Mus musculus: one gene and its partner. The protein of the gene in region 2 purifies or fractionates together with the protein of the main gene of each other region. This does not show direct contact. Links are inferred from orthologs where the notes say so. Each region holds a gene or a part of one and is shown on either strand. Other genes may lie near its edges.

Evidence for each region.
Region 1: the proteins of Haus5 (region 2) and Haus2 purify together in Homo sapiens (affinity purification with mass spectrometry; 5 studies listed by BioGRID and IntAct, with this or other methods). This does not show direct contact. The link is inferred for Mus musculus from reciprocal best matches to the Homo sapiens genes HAUS5 and HAUS2.

What each region holds. Positions count from the first base shown.
Region 1 is NC_000068.7:120,607,921-120,612,184, forward strand, and holds the start of Haus2 (HAUS augmin-like complex subunit 2), read left to right. Parts: upstream 1-1,464; 5' UTR 1,465-1,532; coding exon 1,533-1,625; intron 1,626-1,674; exon of another isoform or gene 1,675-1,738; intron 1,739-4,264. Other genes in the region: Lrrc57 (leucine-rich repeat-containing protein 57), read right to left, coding at 1-147, 753-891, 998-1,103, 1,361-1,464.
Region 2 is NC_000073.6:30,662,195-30,666,180, reverse strand, and holds the start of Haus5 (HAUS augmin-like complex subunit 5), read left to right. Parts: upstream 1-1,186; 5' UTR 1,187-1,252; coding exon 1,253-1,350; intron 1,351-2,895; coding exon 2,896-2,958; intron 2,959-3,053; coding exon 3,054-3,086; intron 3,087-3,220; coding exon 3,221-3,245; intron 3,246-3,986.

The sequences.
Region 1 (4,264 bases), on a different chromosome or scaffold from region 2:
GTAATGCTCCCAGCTGATTCCCAGAGAGGCTCAGCGTCTTCAGGGCAGACAACTGCCCAAAGGTAGATGGTAGCTCTCTCAGGTGATTGTTGTTGAGACTTAGTGTCTCTAGTTTTTTCAGATTGCATAATTCATCAGGTAGAACAGCTGGTGAAGAAGAAATTAAAAAACAAATCCGATAGAATTAATGACATTTATAAAAAGACAGTATGGTAGCCTGCTTCATCTTGTTTTTGAGACAGGATCTCATTAAGTTGTCTAGGATAGCCTTGAAATTAAGATCTTTCTGCCTCAACCTCTGAGTAGCTGGGGCTACTGTAGGTCTAAGTCACCAGGTCTGGCTTCTTACATAGAATTCTCACAGGTCATGTTTAGGTTTCACAAACTGTTTGGGAGGTTAAGAAGCCATCAAAATGCAGAAAATTGTGTATGTGTGTAAGGGGTTCCTTTTGCTTAGCTGTATTCTAAAAACGATCTGAGGGAGTTTAAAAGATCCTCCCATTCCACCCTGCCCCGAAATTAGATAACTGTTTATATCGATTCCCAAAGGTCTTCCAGGTCCAAATTAACCTAGTAATAATCATTATACCACCCAAAGAGGCTTTTATATTTAATTACAAGAGATTAAAGCTTCAATACTCTAACATTCTGCATCCCCTAAAATGATTTCATAACAAAAATCATCTAACAGGAAAAACACCCTTCATAACTGCTGATTACTAGCAAAAGCTGCCCAGACACAAATTCCATACTCAGTTTGTTGTTGTTGAGGGAGAGGCTCTTTAGCAGAGTGAACTTTCCTATTATCAGAGGCGGTAGGCTGTCAATCTTGTTGTTGGATAAATCGATGGTCCTAAGATTGCTTGTCAGCTTCTGCAACTCTGAGGGGAACTGGAGAAAGGAGCTCACAGTTTGGAAAAATCCTGCACCAATAGTCTTCGCCACCCCGCCAACCCTAGCCCTTTTAGTTTCTTGGTCCGGTCCCCTCAGGTCTCACCTCGGTCAGACCACGGTCTTTAAGCTGAAAGACACCAGTTTTCTGCGCTGTTTCCACATGAGCACGGAGAGCACTGTTACCCATCCTAGCGCCACGGCTCAGTTCCCTGCAGGAAAAGAAGCATAGCTGTCACCGCCTAGTCTAGACATACAGTCGTCGCTAAATCTCCCGTTTGGGTCTCCTGTCCCAATTGTCACCTTCTGCCTATCCCTACTTCCCTGGGGCCAGCCCAAGAGTGGCAAGGAGAAAACAGGCGAGCAGGCAGCGCTACCACAAGGTCCTGATGCTTTGGCAGCAGAGCTAAGGGCCAGGGAGCCTCCGATAGCTGCTGCCGGAACAGGGAGCTTGAGACTCGCCTCCTACCGCTCAGTGCAAAGAAGACTCCGCCAGGGAACACCGGGGACCCGCGCTCGCCTGAGACGCGCTCCCAGGGCTTCCGCCCGGGCAGGAACGCCCTGTGACATCATCAAACCGCGCGCCTGTTCGCGGTGTTGCCCCTCACTCCTCGCGCCAGTTCCAGAGGTGTGCGGAAGCCATGGCGGCCGCCAACCCGTGGGACCCAGCGTCCTCGCAGACTGCAGCTGGGTTACTGCTAAACCACTTGGTAGCTTCGGGCATAGTCACTAAGGTACGTGGGGGCGGCGATGGCGTCATCAAGGTGGCGACAGAATTCTGCTGTGAGGTGGTGGTCCTGGTTATGCGGGCGTGAGTGAGCCAGCTGAGGACTGTGACCATACTCCCGTGGGTTCTTCGAGTGTGAGGGACTGAGTGGCTGGTGCACTGAGTGACTGAGCACTCTGTTTTGAGTGCCTGCGGGTTATCCCAGGACGGTTTGTGGGAGATGGAACAGCGCTCCACTTTTTTTTTCTTCCAGTGACACTACCTCTAGAACAAGTGTTCCTAAGGCTGCGACCCTTTAATACAGTTCTTCTGTAGGACCCCCGATATGGGGACTCCTACTCTAGTCCAGGGATAGGGTGCACCCACGAACACACAAGAATCCTTCTTGTTGCAATACACACGAGGCTTTATTGGCAGAGCTCTGGGCCGACACGTACCTCACACAGGAGGCAGGGGAGTCGACCCCGAGTCTCCAGAGCTAGGGGTTTTTGTAAAAGAAAAAGGGATAGGGATGCGAGGAATTTTAACAAAGGTATGGGATTGGGTCATTCAAACATTAACAGTAAGATTACATGTCAGCCAAAGGGCATCCGGACCTTGTTCCTGTGGGCTGGGGGCTTAACTTTGTTCTCATAGCAACCAGGTGATGTATGAAGCAATGCTGGGCCTCCAAGAAAAGGCCAAAATCTTTCACAGCGTAATGCCATCACAGTTCACCCTTATTATTTTAGCACTATTTATTTAGAGACCGAGTCTTGCTGTGTAGCCCTAGATGGTCTGTAACTCACTATCCCTGGCATTACAGGTGTGTACCGCCATGCCTGGCTGTTAACTCACTTTATAAGATGATATGGCAAAGAGGAGAGGGTAATGGGATCTAATTCTTCCAGCTTGCTGAGAGATACTGGAAGATTTTTTAGTCTTTTTAGGTGTTTCCTTTTTTTTAATGGAGAGGTGTCCTCACTCTATCCTAGGCTAGCCTTGAACACTGAGCCATCTTCCTGCTTCCAGCTCCTAAGACTCCCAAGTCTCTCGTGTCAACCATATGGAGGGCTGAATTTAGATCCCTAACGCCCAAGTAAAAGCAGTATGTGATGGTGCGTGTCCTAGAGCTAGGGGCCAGATACAGGTGGGGCTTGCTGGCTAGCTAGTCTAACCCAATCTATGTTACTATTGGGGTCTGGGCTAGAAAGATTTAGGTTCCTGGCCTCTTATCTAAAGAATTGAAAACAGCTTTATTCTGAGGGAAGGAATAACACAGAATATAGAGAGATATAGCATCAAGATTGAAAGCAGAACACTACAAAGGTCCCAGGTTATAGCCTGAGCTCTAAAGGAAGGAATTGTTTACATACAGGCATGGTTTGAGTGGTTCTCTACTCTTTTTTTTTTTAAGATATATTTATTTTGTAAATGATTATTATATATATATGAATGTATGTGTATCATGTGCATGCCTGTTGCCCATGGAGGTCAGAAGAAAGCATTGGATCCCCATGGAACTGGAGTAAGCCCCCATGTGGTTGCTGGGAATTGAACCTGGGTCCTCTGCAAGAACAACAAATGCTCTTAAATGCCAAGCCAGCTTTCTTTCCAGTCCTGTTTCTCTACTTTGGTTGATAGATTAGGTCAAACATTCTTTTCTTCTAGTGTCCATGTTCCTTCCTATAGCATCTGATTTTAATCATATGTATACTGTAGTGCTTTGAGTGAAAATGGCCTCTATAGACTCATATATTTGAATACCTAGTACCCATTTGATGGAAGGATTTCACCTGTTTGGGAAATATTAGGAAATGTGGTCTTGGTGGAGGATGTTTGTCTTTGAGCGTGGGCTTGGAGGCTCTTTTGGCCTCATGCTTATCTCTCAACACGTAAGTTCTCAGCTTCTTCTCCCATGCTATTTCTGTCTGCAACCATGCTGTCTGTCAAGATAGTCATAGACTCATAGACTCTTAACTTATGGAAGCATGAGCCCAAAAATTAAATGCTTATGGAGGTCAGGTGATTAATGGAGTTTTGGCTGAAGTCCAACTCACTGTTAGGTCCATTGAGTTCCCAAACTTATCCTGTAGTTATTTCCCCAGTTCCAGAATGTATATTTGGGATAAATATACTTAGAAGTCGGCAGAATTCCCATATTGGTTTCCTGACTTGTGGAGTGAGGGCTATTATGTTTTGAAAGGCCAAATGGAAGACATCGAAGTTGCCTCTACCAGGAAAAATAGTGAATCAAAGACAGTATTACATCCTAGGAGGAATTGCAGAAATTAGCAACACAACCAAGGACCTAAAAGATGCAGGGGTGGTTGTTTACAACACATTTCCTTTTAACTATCCTATCTGGCCAGTACAGAGGACAGATGGATCATGGAGAGTGACACTATGACCATCAAAAATTTAATCCAGCTGGGCACTGGTGGGACATCCCTTTAATATCAGCACACAGATATGCAAAACATTCTCTCTCCCTCTCTCTCTCTCTCTGCATATGTGTGTATCTGTCTGTCTGTCTGTCTGTCTGTCTTGTGCACACACACACATACACACAAACATGGTGTTATGCTGTTCACTTAGAAAATAGAGGTGTGAAGGTTAGAAGTTGTAGGACATCCTTGGCTGTACAGCAAGCTCAAGGCTAGCTTG
Region 2 (3,986 bases):
TTAAAAATTAATAAAATGAGCATTAAGTCCATTGTCTCTCATTTGTTTCTCATTGAATGAAAATCAGGACAATGTTGCGGTAATTTCTCACCCCAATAAGCCCGTATAAAAAACACACAACTCAGTTATAGTTATAAGCTATATGCCTAGATTGGGCAGATCTATCACTGTACTAATCTAGTTGCCAACTATGAGACTTCTTGCTACTTGCGGCTTCTCCAGGCCATGTCTCTCTCCTCCCTCTCTGAGACTGGGAAGAAGGCCCAGTGAGATCACCTGAGTATGCGCTCTGCTCATTGTAGAGGACAGCTCCTCTTGATGAAGCAGAATAAACATCAAAATACAAATGGCGCCAGGGCAACCCACAACAGGACAAGAATGCTCCTAAGTATGGGTGAGAAGGATTTTACTGTAGACATGAAGAAGAGTACAGCCAGAGGCATCTGGAAGAGTTCAGACTGAATATAACCAGCAAAATAGATGGGGCCACGAGAGGAGAGGTGGGGAGTGGGGCGGGGGCGAGCTAAGAAGAGAAGACTTGGAGAGAGGGTTCCAAGAGGACCCCGAGGGTGCTTGGGAATAAAGAGGGGAGTGGCCAAAATGGCTGAGTTATGAGAATCTGAAGTGGGCAAAGCTCGGGGGCTAGAGAGATTCGGTGTAGGGGCGGGGTATGCCAGGCAGGCAGGATGACTCTGTAAGAGGTTGTTGTGAGAAGGGCCTGAAGGAACCTAGAAGCTAGCATAGACCTCGATATGCCAATAGACGCCACCAAAGGCATAGATTAATGGAAGAGTTCTATGTCCCTTCTGCCAAAGACGAGGAGAATGACCACTTTTAGCAAGTAAAAACGATTTTCTTAAGTCCCTGAGAGAATGATGGGTTTTGTCTAAAAGCCCGAGTTTGGGAAAAGGAAATTTCTTGCACGTTCCCACCCGCCGCCCCCTTTTTTTCCCCAGGTAGAGTGAAGCTTTTAGAACCTTCTGCCTCTTACAGTGAGTGAAAGAACAAAGGTGGATAAGCGGGTGTCTGAATTTCACCCCATCCTTTTCATTTTCATTTACTAACCTACATACACTAGAGCGCCAAGAGCCGCTACGGGTAGCGGCCCGGTACAGAGAGACCCGTCAGCCGGGACCTGCTGTCTGCTTGGCAACCGGTGACATCTCAGCGTCGCGCTCCTGACGTCATAGATGGGCGCCATACTTAAAGAGAGTGCGGGAAGCTGCGACTGCAGCTGAGCTCTGTGACAGCCATGGAACTAACGCAGAAAGAGCGGGAACTGAGTCGCTGGGCTGCTGAAGAGATGGAGGTGCCCCTAGCAGCTCGCCCCCGGGAGTCGACGCTGCGTAGGTGAGGCTGCTTCTGGAGTAAGGTCTCCCCATCCTGGAATTAGCCTCGAGGAGTAAGATCACCGCCCTGTTAGACCCCCGGGGCCCAGGTGTAGAGAACGCGACCCCCAGAAACACAGCTTGATCATAGACGCTGTAATAACAAGAGGTTTTTAATCCGACGCACATGAGGTTGCTCAGCCTCGCAGGGAGAGTCAACCCCGATTGTCTAAATACAGCTAATTTATACTTTTTGTGAAAGGGCTCACACAGCTATTTTATTATTGGCTAATAAAGCAACAGTATAATTTTAATTTGGCAGAAAACTTTGTCAGCAATCAGCAAGGTCAAAGCAGCTTGTAGTTTTCCTCAGAATTCAGGCTGAGGAGGGCTAGGGAGGTTTTCTCAAGGATGGTCATTTCTGGCAGCTGTGGTCTTTATGACCACTAGTCTGTCCCTGCAGATAGGGAAGGGGCCGGGTGGTCTTGAATTTGTTTACACTGGCAGGGAAAGAGAAGAATCTTTCTTTCTTTCTTTTTTTTTTTTTTTTTTTTTTTTTTTTTTGAGTTTCTCAAGACAGGGTTTCTCTGTGTATCCCTGGCTGTCCTGGAACTCACTCTGTAGATCAGGCTGGCCTAGAACTCAGAAATCCACCTGCTTCTGCCTCCCAAGTGCTGGGATTAAAGACATGCGCCACCACTGCCTGGAGAAAGGGAAGATTCTTTAAGCAGCAGGAGACAGCTGAAGATAGAGAGTGGCTGCTGCAGACAGCTTGCAGCAGGAGACAGAGATAGGGGAAGCAAGCTCTGCAAATAACTTTGGTATACATTAATTAAGCTAAAAACTAAGCCGGGCGTGGTGACGCACCCCTTTAATCCTAGCACTTGATAGGCAGAGGCAGGTGAATTTCTGAGTTCGGCTACACAGAGAAACCCTGTCTTGAAAAGACAAAAACAAAACAAAACAAAATATTAAGCTAAAAACTATATTTCTTCCCAGCACTCGGGAGGCAGAGGCAGGCGGATTTCTGAGTTCGAGGCCAGCCTGGTCTACAAAGTGAGTTCCAGGACAGCCAGGGCTATACAGAGAAACCCTGTCTCAAAAAACCAAAAAAACAAAACAAAACTATTATTTCTTTATCCCTCATCGAGAATGAGACAGATCTGCAGAATAAGGGGGTTCCTACAGCACCTCACCTACCCACTCTTACCCTAATCAAAGGTGACACTAGGCAGTTGGCAGTGGCTGTTCTATTGGGGATCAAATCTGCAGAAACCAGTAGCATATGACCCTGTTATGAAAGACCATTTCCTGGGGTGGAAACCTCTTACACCCACCTCTGAAAGTGACTACAACTAAACCTCTCCTAGAAGAAATAGAACCTGTCATGGAATAAGAATACCCTCAGACTTAGGGAGAAGGCCACCCTCTCAGTGACAACCCCCAGGCCCACCCACCGAAGTGAGAAATCTTGGAACTTTCCACCACCATAACTGTGGAGACAGTGGAGGGTCCTCCTCTCCTCCTGGGCAATGCTCCAGTCATACTCTATGCTGTATCCCTTCAGGCTGTGTCTGAGTCAGGGCGCTGACATCTGGGCCTACATTGTGCAGCATGTGCGTAGTCAGAGGTAAGCCAAACCTAGTGCAGGGGAGGGGGTCAGAGAGTGGGAAAGGCACAGGGAAGGCCCACAGCAACTCCTCTCCCTTCATCTCTCCAATGCAGGAATATCAAGAAGATCCAGGGAAACCTCCTCTGGTAACTGCTTCTTAAATTCATTGATTCCTATCTTCACCAGTTTTGTCTAGCCTTGTCCATAACCAAGGCCTCTACTTCCTGCCTTCTCCCCTGGAAGCCCCAGCCATCTCCTAACTCTATTCTCTTTTCTCTAGGCATGCCTATCAGGACAATCCAAAGGTAAGAAGCCTGTGTGGTTAATATTCTCCCTCAACCAATAGTCAGCTTGCAAATATTCTGCTCTAGGCCCTGGAGGTGATGGGTCTGTCAGGAACACCATGTTACAAAACAACCCAGATCTTTGCGCTCCCAGGGATTGCGATCCAGGGTGAGCCAGGCACGAGATGGGGAGCAGTGGTGTATGGACATGGGGCATTGGTGTTGGAGAGAGGAAGGTCTTGAGTCCTATAGTCTCAGCACTCAGGATGAAGCAGAAGGGTCAACATGAGTGTAAGGCCAGCCTGGGCTACATAGTGAGACATGGTCAAAAGTAGACACAGTAAACAAAACTGCTAAAAGGAGAAGGATGAGTTTGTCAGAGCTGCTAAGGAATTCAAGGAAGAGGTCAAGACTAGGAGGGGGACCTACAATTAAGAGCATTCGCTGCTCTTGAAGAGGACTTATCCCAGCATCCAGAGCAGATGTCTAACAGCAGACTGTGATTTCAGTTCTAGGAGATCTAACACCTTCTGGCCTCCACTGGTACCTGTATGCATGTGGTACACCGACATACATTTTTTAAAAAAATGGAGGCTGAGTATGTTGGTACTTGCCTGTTATCCCAGCACGTGGATGCTGAAGAAGACTGTGAATTTAAAGGCAGTCTGAGCTAGTTTACACACCAAAACCCTATCTCAATAAAAATAAAAAATAATTTTAAAAAAGCATCTGACAGAGATGTAGGAGTCACCCCACAGACAG